Saccharomyces cerevisiae S288C: one gene and its partners. The protein of the gene in region 2 binds, or shares a complex with, the protein of the main gene of each other region. Each region holds a gene or a part of one and is shown on either strand. Other genes may lie near its edges. The genes, in order: MOT2, UBC4 and UFD4. A codon is read from its position in the direction of its gene.

Evidence for each region.
Region 1: the proteins of UBC4 (region 2) and MOT2 are in contact, whole or in part, in a crystal structure (PDB 5AIE), measured with the Saccharomyces cerevisiae proteins. Residues at the interface, in NP_009638.1 of Saccharomyces cerevisiae: Ser2 (codon at 1,890), Lys5 (codon at 1,899), Arg6 (codon at 1,902), Lys9 (codon at 1,911), Pro62 (codon at 2,165), Phe63 (codon at 2,168), Lys64 (codon at 2,171), Asp92 (codon at 2,255), Gln93 (codon at 2,258), Trp94 (codon at 2,261), Ser95 (codon at 2,264), Pro96 (codon at 2,267), Ala97 (codon at 2,270); in NP_010991.3 of Saccharomyces cerevisiae: Pro34 (codon at 2,113), Leu35 (codon at 2,116), Cys36 (codon at 2,119), Ile37 (codon at 2,122), Glu38 (codon at 2,125), Tyr54 (codon at 2,173), Cys60 (codon at 2,191), Asn63 (codon at 2,200), Glu69 (codon at 2,218), Leu70 (codon at 2,221), Asn71 (codon at 2,224), Pro75 (codon at 2,236), Ala76 (codon at 2,239), Arg78 (codon at 2,245).
Region 3: the proteins of UBC4 (region 2) and UFD4 are in contact, whole or in part, in a cryo-EM structure (PDB 8J1R), measured with the Saccharomyces cerevisiae proteins. Residues at the interface, in NP_009638.1 of Saccharomyces cerevisiae: Met1 (codon at 1,887), Ser2 (codon at 1,890), Ser3 (codon at 1,893), Ser4 (codon at 1,896), Arg6 (codon at 1,902), His56 (codon at 2,147), Pro58 (codon at 2,153), Thr59 (codon at 2,156), Asp60 (codon at 2,159), Pro62 (codon at 2,165), Phe63 (codon at 2,168), Lys64 (codon at 2,171), Pro65 (codon at 2,174), Lys67 (codon at 2,180), Cys86 (codon at 2,237), Lys91 (codon at 2,252), Asp92 (codon at 2,255), Ser95 (codon at 2,264), Pro96 (codon at 2,267), Ala97 (codon at 2,270), Asp118 (codon at 2,333), Leu120 (codon at 2,339), Val121 (codon at 2,342), Pro122 (codon at 2,345), Glu123 (codon at 2,348), His126 (codon at 2,357); in NP_012915.3 of Saccharomyces cerevisiae: Ser1166 (codon at 5,229), Tyr1167 (codon at 5,232), Leu1261 (codon at 5,514), Leu1262 (codon at 5,517), Lys1264 (codon at 5,523), Ser1265 (codon at 5,526), Leu1266 (codon at 5,529), Tyr1268 (codon at 5,535), Ile1269 (codon at 5,538), Ser1281 (codon at 5,574), Leu1282 (codon at 5,577), Ser1283 (codon at 5,580), Leu1284 (codon at 5,583), Thr1285 (codon at 5,586), Thr1287 (codon at 5,592), Pro1289 (codon at 5,598), Gly1290 (codon at 5,601), Asp1292 (codon at 5,607), Tyr1313 (codon at 5,670), His1378 (codon at 5,865), Val1430 (codon at 6,021), Glu1435 (codon at 6,036), Met1448 (codon at 6,075), Cys1450 (codon at 6,081), Tyr1453 (codon at 6,090).

Annotation. Positions count from the first base shown.
Region 1 is NC_001137.3:291,037-295,435, forward strand, and holds MOT2 (CCR4-NOT core ubiquitin-protein ligase subunit MOT2), read left to right. Parts: upstream 1-2,013; coding exon 2,014-3,777; downstream 3,778-4,399. Other genes in the region: RGI1 (Rgi1p), read left to right, coding at 1,030-1,515; ARG56 (bifunctional acetylglutamate kinase/N-acetyl-gamma-glutamyl-phosphate reductase), read left to right, coding at 4,374-4,399. UniProt on the Saccharomyces cerevisiae protein: E3 ubiquitin-protein ligase component of the CCR4-NOT core complex, which in the nucleus seems to be a general transcription factor, and in the cytoplasm the major mRNA deadenylase involved in mRNA turnover.
Region 2 is NC_001134.8:406,128-409,055, reverse strand, and holds UBC4 (E2 ubiquitin-conjugating protein UBC4), read left to right. Parts: upstream 1-1,886; coding exon 1,887-1,933; intron 1,934-2,028; coding exon 2,029-2,428; downstream 2,429-2,928. UniProt on the Saccharomyces cerevisiae protein: E2 ubiquitin-conjugating enzyme that catalyzes the covalent attachment of ubiquitin to other proteins. Mediates the selective degradation of short-lived and abnormal proteins. Mediates ubiquitination of PEX5.
Region 3 is NC_001143.9:420,784-427,608, reverse strand, and holds UFD4 (putative ubiquitin-protein ligase UFD4), read left to right. Parts: upstream 1-1,733; coding exon 1,734-6,185; downstream 6,186-6,825. Other genes in the region: sphingosine N-acyltransferase LAC1, read left to right, coding at 1-314; ribosome assembly factor MRT4, read right to left, coding at 657-1,367; CCE1 (cruciform cutting endonuclease), read left to right, coding at 6,393-6,825. UniProt on the Saccharomyces cerevisiae protein: E3 ubiquitin-protein ligase which accepts ubiquitin from an E2 ubiquitin-conjugating enzyme in the form of a thioester and then directly transfers the ubiquitin to targeted substrates.

The DNA of each region.
Region 1 (4,399 bases), on a different chromosome or scaffold from region 2:
AGCAAATGTGGTACAAGTTGACCCATATTTTCATGCATTGGGCCATGCAGTAATTATCACACTCACTTTGTCATAATGTATACAATGGCCGCTTATTTGCGACTCGTCTCATATTTTTCCTGAAACTGTAGCTGTGTGTAATATTATTCATTAACTTCGATAATTCGGCTACAGAAGACAAGAGCTACATCCTTACTGGTGCGAATAAATGACATAATCTGTCAAGAGTACCGAAGTAAAAGCAACGATTGCCGAACACATCTTCCTGAAGTATCATATGCCAATACAAGGTTTCAATAGGAATTATGAAAGCGGCATTATCACCCTTAATCTGAAATATGTAATGATGACGGTGCAGTATGTTGACTACATTGTAAAGTTGCACTTTCACTCAACTCATGAAATTGATGACATTAATCCTACGTGACTTACACATATGCCATGAACGAAGAAGGTGGCACCAAAAATCCAGCGTTTCCGATATACACGCAGTCAAATGTTCAGACTAAACTTTGGTATTCTGACAACGTGTTGTCATACCTGTTACGAGCCAGAAACGTATTTCTTTTTGGGTGATACAATCTCCAGATGACTGCTTTTTTTTTTTTTACCCCAGATTCAGGGGCCGAAGGAACGGAAATGCGGTGTGGCGAGATTGCGGATGTGCTAAAAAATAATATCCTCGAGGCAACCAGCATAATGTGGACGGCTCTCGGCAATTGACTTCCATAACAAATGCATCCTGTAATCAGGGGTATTATAAGTTACTGTATGGTTAATTAAATATAGAATGAAAGGGGCAGCGTTCTTAAGGGGTATTGCTGGGTGGAAAAATACAAGTGTCTTTACTTGATTGTGTGCACATATATAAGGCAAAAGATTTCTAGCGTATATTTGAATCTTTTGTTCTTCCACGTTCAAATTTCTTTGGTCAAAACATTTCATAAAGGGACAAGTTCTGCATTGTATTCTAATAATTGCCCATAGAACATATAAATTAGGTATCGACTGTTTTCGTCTCCACTTTAAATGACAAAGAAGGATAAGAAGGAAGTAAAAGTTCAAACGGTTACCACGGAGGATGGTGAAACCGTGAAAGTTTTTGAAGACCTGCAGGGTTTTGAAACTTTCATTGCCAATGAAACTGAAGATGATGATTTCGATCATTTGCACTGTAAATTAAATTACTACCCACCATTTGTGCTACACGAGTCGCACGAGGACCCTGAAAAAATTAGTGATGCTGCAAATTCTCATTCTAAGAAGTTCGTGCGTCACCTGCACCAGCATATTGAAAAGCATCTTTTGAAAGATATTAAGCAAGCCGTTAGGAAACCTGAGCTTAAATTTCACGAAAAATCGAAGGAAGAGACATTTGATAAAATCACCTGGCATTACGGTGAGGAAACTGAATACCATGGTAGACCTTTCAAGATAGACGTTCAAGTAGTTTGCACACATGAAGATGCTATGGTATTTGTCGATTACAAAACACATCCTGTAGGCGCAAATTAAAGGTTGTGTCATAGAGAATGTGTTAGTACTGAATCCTAACCTCCCAAATTCATAAGTAGTTTTATGTACCTTTAATGATTTACGATTAGCAACTTTTTGAATTTTTTTTATTGAAATGTTGAGCCCGAAGACGTGAAACGCTATAAAGTAGTATCACTGTTACGCCGCGAAACCTGATAATGTATTGTTAAACTACTACCTGGTCGATGATTATATCGACGCTTCTAAAATGAATGCTATTACCCGAACTTCCACTTGATTGCCGTCTCTTCCCGGGTAACATTGTAAGTGTGAATATGATTTTTTTTTTTGCTTTCTCTTTTCAAAATTTCCGAAAAGCATATCAAGACGTGTACTACATACAGTAAAAGCCCTCCTAGGGTTTTCAGTAGTGGTTCGAATAGTATAGATTACTGCTTTTGTTACTCTGCAACAATCCCAAAACTTAATAAAAAGTACAAAAGACCAAATAAAAGTATCGTATATAATCCAGTCATAATGATGAATCCACACGTTCAAGAAAATTTGCAAGCAATCCACAACGCCTTAAGCAATTTTGATACGTCATTTTTATCGGAGGATGAAGAAGATTATTGCCCTCTTTGTATTGAACCAATGGATATTACTGATAAAAATTTTTTTCCTTGTCCCTGTGGTTATCAAATTTGTCAATTTTGCTACAATAATATCAGACAAAATCCAGAATTAAATGGCCGTTGCCCAGCATGTCGTCGTAAATATGATGACGAGAACGTCAGATACGTCACATTATCTCCGGAGGAGTTAAAAATGGAGAGAGCCAAGCTCGCTAGGAAGGAGAAAGAAAGAAAGCATAGAGAAAAAGAACGTAAAGAGAATGAATATACGAATAGGAAACATTTATCTGGTACCAGAGTTATCCAAAAGAATTTAGTGTACGTTGTTGGCATCAATCCTCCTGTTCCATACGAGGAAGTTGCGCCCACTCTGAAATCTGAAAAATATTTTGGCCAATATGGTAAGATAAATAAGATTGTGGTTAATAGAAAAACACCCCATTCTAACAACACAACCAGCGAGCATTATCACCATCATTCACCAGGATATGGCGTTTACATAACCTTCGGATCCAAGGACGATGCTGCAAGATGTATAGCTCAGGTAGACGGGACGTATATGGATGGCCGCCTGATCAAAGCTGCCTACGGTACTACTAAATACTGTTCTTCTTATTTAAGAGGATTGCCATGCCCAAATCCCAACTGTATGTTTTTGCATGAACCTGGTGAAGAAGCTGATTCTTTTAATAAAAGAGAACTCCACAATAAACAACAAGCGCAACAGCAAAGTGGCGGAACTGCATTCACTAGATCTGGAATACACAACAATATATCTACCAGTACCGCTGGTTCAAATACCAATTTACTAAGTGAAAATTTCACAGGCACACCTTCACCGGCGGCGATGAGGGCTCAGTTACATCATGACAGCCATACAAACGCTGGAACACCGGTATTAACACCTGCTCCGGTCCCTGCAGGGTCAAATCCTTGGGGAGTTACTCAATCAGCAACACCTGTAACCTCTATCAATCTCTCTAAAAACAGCAGCTCCATAAACTTGCCAACATTAAATGATTCTCTGGGCCATCATACTACCCCCACAACAGAGAATACCATCACAAGTACGACAACTACTACCAATACCAATGCTACAAGTCACTCCCATGGTAGCAAGAAGAAGCAATCTCTTGCTGCAGAGGAATACAAAGATCCTTATGACGCACTAGGGAATGCTGTTGACTTTTTGGATGCAAGACTACATTCTCTATCAAATTATCAGAAGCGCCCTATATCTATCAAATCCAATATTATTGACGAAGAAACTTATAAAAAGTATCCGTCTTTGTTTTCTTGGGACAAGATTGAGGCCTCAAAGAAAAGTGACAATACATTAGCCAACAAACTTGTGGAGATCCTGGCTATAAAGCCAATAGACTACACTGCTTCTGTCGTTCAATTCTTGCAGAGTGTCAATGTTGGTGTAAATGACAATATTACAATCACAGATAATACGAAAACTCCCACCCAACCAATAAGACTGCAAACCGTCTCACAGCAAATCCAACCACCATTAAACGTCAGTACCCCTCCACCGGGTATCTTTGGTCCACAACATAAGGTTCCTATTCAGCAGCAACAAATGGGTGATACAAGCTCAAGAAATTCCTCTGATTTACTAAATCAACTAATCAACGGAAGGAAAATTATCGCCGGTAATTAATCCGACTCTAAATATTTTTCTTGTTTGCATTAACCATAATTTTATCTATTTTTATTTCTCATGAATATATAATCTCTCCGTTTATAACGAAATGCAAGAAAAAAAAATCTCACCCATTTTTTTAAACCTTTGACGTGGAAAGGTATCTGGGAAAGGTATCTGGCTAATGAATAATGCCATAGCATATACCAGTATAGTCTATTTACTCGTTACAACGTATGAAAGCGTCAGCGCTGCAAGAATGACTAATTCATAGAAAATAATCATCATGATATATATCATAATGCACGGAACCTGCTTCGCTAATTTTTTCACTTAAATCACATTTTTTCAACGAAATCTCTTGCGCAGTTGGTTGGAATTCTTATCCGAATGACTCAGTCTACATCAAAAAACTGTGGCCGAATGGTGGTAATTGATGACTCTTCTATTTTTTTTTTTCATATAAAGAGCTTGCGCGCGTGTTGTTGTTCGCTATCCATTTCCATTAGGAACATTTTTGGATATTATTTTTCAGACCCGTAATATACTTAACACATATACCACTAAAGGCAAAAGAAAGAGAGATCTGAAGTGAGAAATAAGTCTGCATCATTATGCCATCTGCTAGCTTACTCGTCTC
Region 2 (2,928 bases):
GAAAAGGGTTGTCATATGTAAAAAATTAAGCAAGCCTTTTGTTTCAAACTTAATATATACCTCTGCGGGGGAATTACTTTTTTGGTAATAAGCTATTTTCTCCAGCTATGGGCCGTACCATCGAGAGAAACTCCAGCACCATGGATTGCTGATGGTAGCTACAGGTGCTTTTTAACTGTGCATGAGCCAAGAGCCTTGTGAGGGACCATTCGTGGAGTCCAGCTCAGCTTGTTTCCGGAGAGTTTCCCAGAATAATAAGCAAACGCAATCTGAAACACGCACATTCCCGAATTCAATGGGAAATTCTTTGAGTCGTACGCGGAATGCGAGCGGTGCCGGGGAATTCCAATGAGGCTGATTAAACCGGACTACGGGCAAAATGGCTCATCTGAAACACCTTGCGCCGATAAAAGACCCTCACCTGTGTCACTAAATGGAAAGAGTTGGCGTAAAATCTTCCTGTAAAAGGATCTCACCATTTTGGCCTAAAACATCATCATATCTGTTTTCGTGGAAAAAAAAGGCCGCTCATACATGAATACAGTGGGCACATGCCACCTGTTATTCCATAGCTGGCTTTACTGTAATATTAGAATAGTTCCTATCTGTGTGAAAAGTTTCTTTCGTTACCTTTTTTTCAGAGTCAAAAGCTGGAGGAGGCTATTGTACTTGCCTGTAGTTCCAGGTAACAATCGCTTAAGCAGTGAGCCCGCTTAATGAGAGCAAGTTATATATGTTTTGCTAAAACCTGCCAGATTCTCAGCCTAGAAGATATAAATCTAACGTGGATTTGTTACAGGCTGTCATACCTTATGTACTTACGCATCGTATCTTGTATGTGTTCACTTTTTTCTGGTAACTACACCACTTGGCTTAACCTTGCCAGGAACCGAGTAGGCCACACATGTTTTGAATATTGTAAGTGTGTACAATAAGCTGCAGTACTCTTTTGATTCTGTAGGAAACCAGCGAAGAACGTACTCTTGCCTGAAGAGAAGTTTTTTTTATTTATTTATATTTTGTTCTGGAAGCTCTTTACAGAATGGAGTAGGAAAATATATAGAGAGGAAAAGCGAAATCGTTACGAGAATAAATAATCAAGAAAAGAAACTTGAACTTGGCTTTTCCAAAACAACAGAAGTAGCGTTAATTTACTTTCACCGTAAAATTCAACTCTTTAAATATAGTCCACTTAGTAAATTCTTGCCAATTTGCATGATAAATTCGAACCCATTCCTCAAAATAAAGGGTCCTCATACATTCCATGGAAAGAAAGTTTTCTTGAACATTAAGAATAAAAAGGCAAAAAAGAAAAAAAAAAGCACAGCTACTGTTTTAGTCAACATTCCTTTCTCACTGGAATGCACAAGGTGTCATTCCTGAACAAGGGTAACTGCACTATTCATATGTCCACCTTATGACTTCATAAAAAGTTTGACAATAAGTAGTCTTACGTGATAAGAAATGATGTAACATAAGGCTAATGTCCTTATTCCAAAGTATCTCATTTATACAATAAACAAAACTGATCTTACCGCCTATCCTCCTCTCCGCACTAATCAATTGTTATAGTTTTTCTCGAAGCGAGGATCAAATGGCCGAGCAACAGGAAAAGGAGTACCGGCGGTCACATGGTCTGCGAGATTTTTCCCGCTGCGGAAAAACCTGGCAACAGCTCACCTTGAAAGGCCTTGGCCTGTATTTTTCTTTTTTCTTCATCCTTCTTTCTTTTTCTTTATTCTTATTTTTCATCTTAATAAATAATCCAGAGAATAAATCTATCCTGAAAAAAAATAAAGTAAAGAAGCCAGGAAAATCACTATCGCCACAAGTAAATAAATTTCACTGACTATAGAGTACATACATAAACAAGCATCCAAAAAAACATGTCTTCTTCTAAACGTATTGCTAAAGAACTAAGTGATCTAGAAAGGTATGTCTAAAGTTATGGCCACGTTTCAAATGCGTGCTTTTTTTTTAAAACTTATGCTCTTATTTACTAACAAAATCAACATGCTATTGAACTAGAGATCCACCTACTTCATGTTCAGCCGGTCCAGTCGGCGATGATCTATATCACTGGCAAGCATCCATCATGGGACCTGCCGATTCCCCATATGCCGGCGGTGTTTTCTTCTTGTCTATCCATTTCCCAACCGACTACCCATTCAAGCCACCAAAGATCTCCTTCACAACCAAGATATATCATCCAAATATCAATGCCAATGGTAACATCTGTCTGGACATCCTAAAGGATCAATGGTCTCCAGCTCTAACTCTATCGAAGGTCCTATTATCCATCTGTTCTTTGTTAACAGACGCTAATCCTGACGATCCTTTAGTACCAGAAATCGCTCATATCTACAAGACTGACAGACCCAAGTACGAAGCTACAGCCAGAGAATGGACAAAGAAATACGCTGTATAAACAGAAGTCCTTACTCAGCTGAAAAAGAGAAGCAAGATTTATATGGGATTGGACGATGAAAAGAATATTAGATACAATGTATTTAAGAAAGAATACAATAAAATATATGTATATTCTATCTCTAATAACATAGATTTACTGATATAAGATATAAGACTATTGTTGGCAACAGTACAGGGGAACCTTTTTTTTTTTTTCCAAACAACTCGAATCGTAAACCTTAATTTAATTTATTCAGGGGAGATTCATGAACATTTTTTTCCTCGAACAGTATGGAGAATTTTTGCTTAGTTACATGCACGCAAGCGCGGGTATATCCCGCATATATTTCAGTTGTGGTTCATATTTGACCTAACTTGTCGAGGGAGCGTCAACGTTAACCGTACCTTTTTCATTTCTAGTCTATCTGTAGGTTAATTACTATTGTCATTAACATCATTTCTGGGGTGAAGCCTATTTAAATTTTTGAAGTTCAACGCATAGCTAGTATATGTAATCAA
Region 3 (6,825 bases), on a different chromosome or scaffold from region 2:
TTTATTTGCGTCATTACATAAATTTAAAGATCCTATGGTCCGTTTTAACGCAATTTCGCACGGAAGGTAACTATGTCTTGAATTTTGCCACTCAGCAATATAAATGTTGGATTTCCTTACCAATTGTCTTTGTATTGATAGGCGCTTTGCAATTAGTGAATCTTTATTGGCTGTTCCTTATTTTTAGAGTTCTTTACAGGATTCTATGGAGAGGTATTCTCAAGGATGACAGAAGTGATAGTGAATCAGACGAAGAAAGTGATGAAAGTTCCACTACTCCAACTGACAGTACTCCAACGAAAAAGGATATTTGAAGGAAAACGGTGTTTTTAAGTAGTATAACCATTACACATTAATTCTTTACACATTAATTCTTTTACGGTCCTGCTCTCACGTTCTTCCTTATTGGTTTATGTAAACAGGTATTTTTATAGTATTCTTTTCCAGACATACAGTGTTATCTTTTTTTCTTGCTTTCGTGCCGCTAAAGAGCTGTGAAGATCAAAAGTGATTTACGCTTAGTTAGCATGAATATAAATTCTCAGTTGAAAAGAAGCTATGTTACATTTATGAGCGTTGCTTTAGTATATCTATACAAAAAAAAGAAATTTTTATACAATGGTCTATTAAAAAAGGCTTCCAAATAATAGTTCAGCTTATTCCATGTTGATGTTAGTGCTTTCAACAGTGGAGCTATCGTTGTCATAGTAGGCCGACACCTTGACTTTGAATTCAGAAGCAGCGATACCGAATTGTTTCAGTATTAAAGCTTGACGAACATCTAATTTTTCTCCTTCAGTGCAAACTAAATATGGACTGTCAATGGTGATCTTACCAGCTTTGATTTTAGTTGGAATTTCAAATTTGTTTCTCATAGTTGGCTCTAAAGAATGAATCATTGGAACATCTTCCTCAGCTGGAATTTGACCACCACGTGAGTAGACAATGCCCTCAGGAATTGTAAATGTTAGTGGTGCTTTCGTGTTCGGTCTTGAATAGTCTGAACGAACGTATGACTTAAAGTATTCCTTGACAGTGTTGACATCCTCATCAGTGAACAATAAACCAGTGACACCGCTACAAAGCTTACTCAATTGATACAGATTTTCTTTGTATTCTTCTTCCCTCTTTTCTCCCAATGCTTTTTGTAAAACTTTCCTCTTACCCATAATTAACTTAGAGCCTGCCCAAGATGTTCTGATTTCTTGTAAAACTGGAGTTCTTACGTCGTCAAGATGTAGGACCCAGACGTATCTATAAGTATCTAAGGCTTCCCTCACTTCATCGAAAATTCTTTCTTTATTTTCTCTGCCCTTTTTATCGGTTTGTGCTAAAGTGACTAGCTTGGAACGTTTTGATCTTGGCATGATTCAACTATAATAAATCTTTTATGGACGATAGACAGTGATGTACGTATAGCAAAAGGAATCAGCTCTGCTTAGCCAAAGTACTACAAATATTTGCAACTTTTCAAAAGCTCATCGCATTTTTCTGGAAAAAAATTTTTTCTTTCACCTTCGCCGGGTAAAGTCCTAATGGTTGGGTTTTCTGAACTGAAATCAAATTGTGGGATCATAGCCAACAGTAGTTGGAAAGGGGAATAGCTTTGATCATACCCAGGGAAAGACCACTTTCTGGGATCGATACTTTCCTTTCTGTGTGCTTTATTAACAACAATATATCTCAGGTGTGAAAATTTTGGATAAACATTTAAAATAGAAGAGTAGCCAAGCATGTCTGAAAATAATTCGCACAACCTTGATGAACATGAGTCCCATAGCGAAAACAGTGATTATATGATGGATACGCAGGTAGAAGATGACTATGATGAGGATGGCCATGTACAGGGTGAGTACTCTTATTATCCTGATGAAGATGAAGATGAACATATGCTTTCTAGCGTCGGAAGTTTTGAGGCAGATGATGGTGAAGATGACGATAACGATTACCATCATGAAGATGATTCTGGACTTTTATATGGATATCATAGAACTCAGAATGGCAGTGACGAAGACAGAAATGAAGAAGAAGATGGACTTGAACGTTCTCACGATAATAATGAATTTGGCAGCAACCCCCTACATTTACCTGACATTTTGGAAACATTCGCACAAAGACTAGAACAAAGAAGACAAACAAGTGAAGGACTTGGGCAACACCCGGTTGGAAGAACACTACCCGAGATTTTATCGATGATTGGAGGAAGGATGGAGAGGAGCGCAGAGAGTTCGGCAAGGAATGAGCGGATTTCTAAATTGATAGAGAATACTGGGAATGCCTCCGAGGATCCTTATATTGCAATGGAGAGTTTAAAAGAACTTTCTGAAAACATATTAATGATGAATCAAATGGTTGTCGATAGAATTATACCGATGGAAACCTTAATAGGTAATATAGCTGCCATACTCTCTGATAAAATTTTACGGGAAGAATTAGAATTACAAATGCAAGCTTGTAGATGCATGTATAATCTTTTTGAGGTCTGCCCTGAATCTATTTCAATAGCTGTTGATGAACACGTTATACCAATTTTACAAGGAAAATTGGTAGAGATCAGTTACATTGACCTCGCAGAACAAGTTTTAGAAACGGTGGAATATATTTCTAGAGTACATGGGAGAGACATTTTAAAAACGGGCCAATTATCAATCTACGTCCAATTCTTCGATTTTTTAACTATACATGCGCAGAGGAAGGCTATCGCAATTGTTTCGAACGCCTGTAGCAGTATCCGAACGGATGACTTTAAGACCATTGTTGAAGTACTTCCAACGCTGAAGCCAATTTTCTCGAATGCGACAGACCAACCAATATTAACCAGGCTTGTAAATGCCATGTACGGTATTTGCGGGGCGTTGCATGGGGTTGACAAATTTGAGACTTTGTTTTCGTTGGATTTAATCGAAAGAATAGTTCAGCTAGTTTCTATTCAGGATACCCCCTTGGAGAATAAACTGAAATGTTTGGATATTTTAACCGTATTAGCGATGAGTAGTGATGTACTTTCAAGAGAACTGAGAGAGAAAACTGACATTGTCGACATGGCAACACGATCATTCCAGCATTATAGTAAAAGTCCTAACGCAGGGTTACATGAAACACTGATTTATGTCCCAAACAGTTTATTGATTAGCATTTCTAGATTTATAGTTGTATTGTTTCCTCCCGAGGATGAAAGAATACTGTCAGCGGATAAATATACCGGAAATAGCGACCGTGGCGTAATTTCTAACCAGGAAAAGTTTGATTCCCTAGTTCAATGTCTAATTCCAATTCTCGTTGAAATTTATACAAATGCTGCTGACTTTGACGTAAGAAGATACGTACTTATTGCTTTACTGAGGGTTGTATCATGCATAAATAATTCCACAGCAAAGGCAATCAATGATCAACTTATTAAGTTAATCGGATCTATCCTGGCCCAAAAAGAAACAGCGTCTAACGCTAATGGTACTTACTCATCAGAAGCTGGTACACTGTTGGTTGGTGGTCTCTCGTTGCTTGACTTAATTTGTAAAAAGTTTTCCGAACTGTTCTTTCCTTCCATCAAAAGAGAGGGCATTTTTGATTTGGTTAAGGATTTGTCTGTGGATTTCAATAACATTGATTTAAAGGAAGACGGGAATGAAAATATTTCACTTTCTGACGAAGAAGGGGATTTGCATAGCAGTATTGAGGAATGTGATGAGGGTGATGAAGAATATGATTACGAATTTACTGATATGGAAATTCCTGATTCAGTAAAACCAAAGAAAATTTCAATACACATTTTCAGAACTCTATCTCTAGCTTATATTAAAAACAAGGGTGTGAACCTAGTTAATAGAGTACTTTCTCAGATGAACGTTGAGCAAGAAGCAATAACAGAGGAGCTCCATCAAATCGAAGGCGTTGTTTCTATTTTAGAAAATCCTTCCACTCCGGACAAAACTGAAGAGGATTGGAAGGGAATTTGGTCTGTTTTAAAAAAATGTATTTTCCATGAAGATTTCGACGTGTCAGGTTTCGAATTTACTTCTACAGGGCTAGCTTCCTCCATAACTAAAAGAATTACATCCTCAACGGTATCCCATTTCATTCTTGCTAAATCATTTTTAGAGGTATTTGAGGATTGTATTGACAGATTTTTAGAAATCCTACAATCTGCTCTCACAAGGCTGGAGAATTTCTCTATAGTTGATTGCGGTTTACACGATGGTGGTGGTGTATCTTCACTGGCTAAAGAGATAAAAATTAAGTTGGTTTATGATGGCGATGCAAGCAAAGATAATATTGGTACTGATTTATCATCTACTATCGTTTCGGTCCATTGCATAGCTTCTTTTACCTCACTTAATGAGTTTTTGAGACACAGAATGGTAAGAATGCGTTTTTTGAATTCATTAATCCCAAACCTTACATCTTCCAGTACCGAAGCTGATAGGGAAGAAGAAGAAAATTGCTTGGATCATATGAGAAAAAAGAACTTTGACTTTTTTTATGATAATGAAAAAGTTGACATGGAGTCTACAGTATTTGGTGTGATATTTAATACATTCGTCAGGCGAAATCGTGACTTAAAAACTTTATGGGATGATACACATACAATCAAATTTTGCAAAAGTTTAGAAGGTAACAATAGAGAGAGTGAGGCAGCCGAGGAAGCTAATGAGGGGAAAAAGTTAAGAGATTTTTATAAAAAAAGAGAATTCGCACAGGTTGATACTGGATCTTCAGCGGATATTCTGACATTGCTGGATTTTCTACATAGCTGCGGTGTTAAAAGCGACAGTTTTATCAACTCAAAACTAAGCGCTAAGCTCGCTAGACAACTAGATGAACCATTGGTAGTAGCAAGTGGAGCTTTGCCGGATTGGTCACTATTTTTGACCAGGAGATTCCCATTTTTGTTTCCGTTTGATACCAGGATGCTTTTCCTACAATGTACTTCATTTGGTTACGGAAGATTGATTCAACTTTGGAAGAATAAGAGTAAAGGCTCGAAAGATTTAAGGAATGACGAAGCTTTACAACAACTTGGGAGAATTACTAGGCGTAAGCTGCGGATTTCAAGAAAAACAATATTCGCTACCGGTCTCAAGATTTTATCCAAGTACGGAAGTAGCCCTGACGTACTGGAAATTGAATATCAAGAAGAAGCAGGAACAGGTTTAGGACCGACTTTGGAATTTTACTCCGTAGTTTCCAAGTATTTTGCAAGAAAGTCGTTAAATATGTGGCGTTGTAACTCTTATAGTTACAGAAGCGAAATGGATGTTGATACTACTGACGATTATATTACCACTTTATTGTTCCCAGAGCCCCTCAACCCGTTTTCCAATAATGAAAAAGTTATTGAACTTTTTGGATATTTGGGGACATTTGTTGCCAGATCGTTGCTTGATAATAGAATTCTTGACTTTAGATTTAGCAAAGTCTTTTTTGAGTTATTGCACAGAATGTCTACGCCCAATGTGACGACAGTGCCGAGCGACGTTGAAACCTGTCTGTTAATGATCGAATTGGTAGATCCGTTACTCGCAAAATCCCTTAAATACATAGTAGCGAATAAGGATGACAATATGACCCTAGAATCGTTGTCCTTGACATTTACCGTTCCTGGAAATGATGACATTGAGTTGATTCCGGGGGGTTGTAATAAATCCTTGAACTCTTCTAATGTTGAAGAATATATCCATGGCGTTATCGACCAAATATTAGGTAAGGGCATTGAAAAACAGTTAAAAGCATTTATTGAAGGTTTTTCAAAGGTGTTTTCCTATGAGAGGATGCTAATACTTTTTCCGGATGAATTAGTGGATATTTTCGGACGAGTTGAGGAAGACTGGTCTATGGCAACTTTATACACAAACTTGAACGCTGAACATGGCTATACAATGGATTCTTCAATCATTCATGATTTTATATCAATAATATCCGCGTTTGGTAAGCATGAAAGAAGATTATTTTTGCAATTTTTAACGGGATCTCCCAAGCTTCCAATTGGGGGATTTAAAAGTTTGAACCCAAAGTTTACAGTTGTGTTAAAGCATGCTGAAGATGGCCTAACAGCAGACGAATATCTACCAAGTGTAATGACATGTGCTAATTATTTGAAATTGCCGAAGTATACTAGCAAAGATATTATGCGGTCTCGTCTTTGTCAAGCCATTGAAGAGGGTGCAGGAGCTTTTCTACTTTCCTAAATTTTAGTTACTTTTTCTATTTAAGTTTTATATGACTTCAAAATTATTTCTTAAGATACAAAAAATGGATGGAATCAGACTAAATTTCTTCGGATTATCCGTACTTTTCTCATTTTTTTGTTTCAACTGGCGATTCCATATTTGTTTATCCATTGCATACAACGAAGGCTTACGGTTATACAGTCTAAAGCTAAAAAAGATAGTAATATGTCGACAGCACAGAAAGCTAAGATATTGCAACTCATCGATTCCTGCTGCCAAAATGCAAAAAGCACACAACTGAAATCTTTATCATTTGTTATTGGAGCAGTAAATGGCACGACGAAAGAAGCTAAAAGAACCTACATTCAAGAACAGTGTGAATTTTTGGAGAAGTTACGACAACAAAAGATAAGAGAGGGAAGAATTAACATATTGTCTATGGATGCTGGTGTTTCTAACTTTGCTTTCTCTAAGATGCAATTGCTCAATAATGATCCGCTCCCTAAAGTACTAGACTGGCAAAAGATAAATCTAGAGGAGAAATTTTTTCAAAACCTCAAAAAGTTAAGCTTGAATCCTGCTGAAACTTCTGAGCTTGTATTTAACCTTACGGAGTATTTATTTGAATCTATGCCGATACCAGATATGTTTACAATTG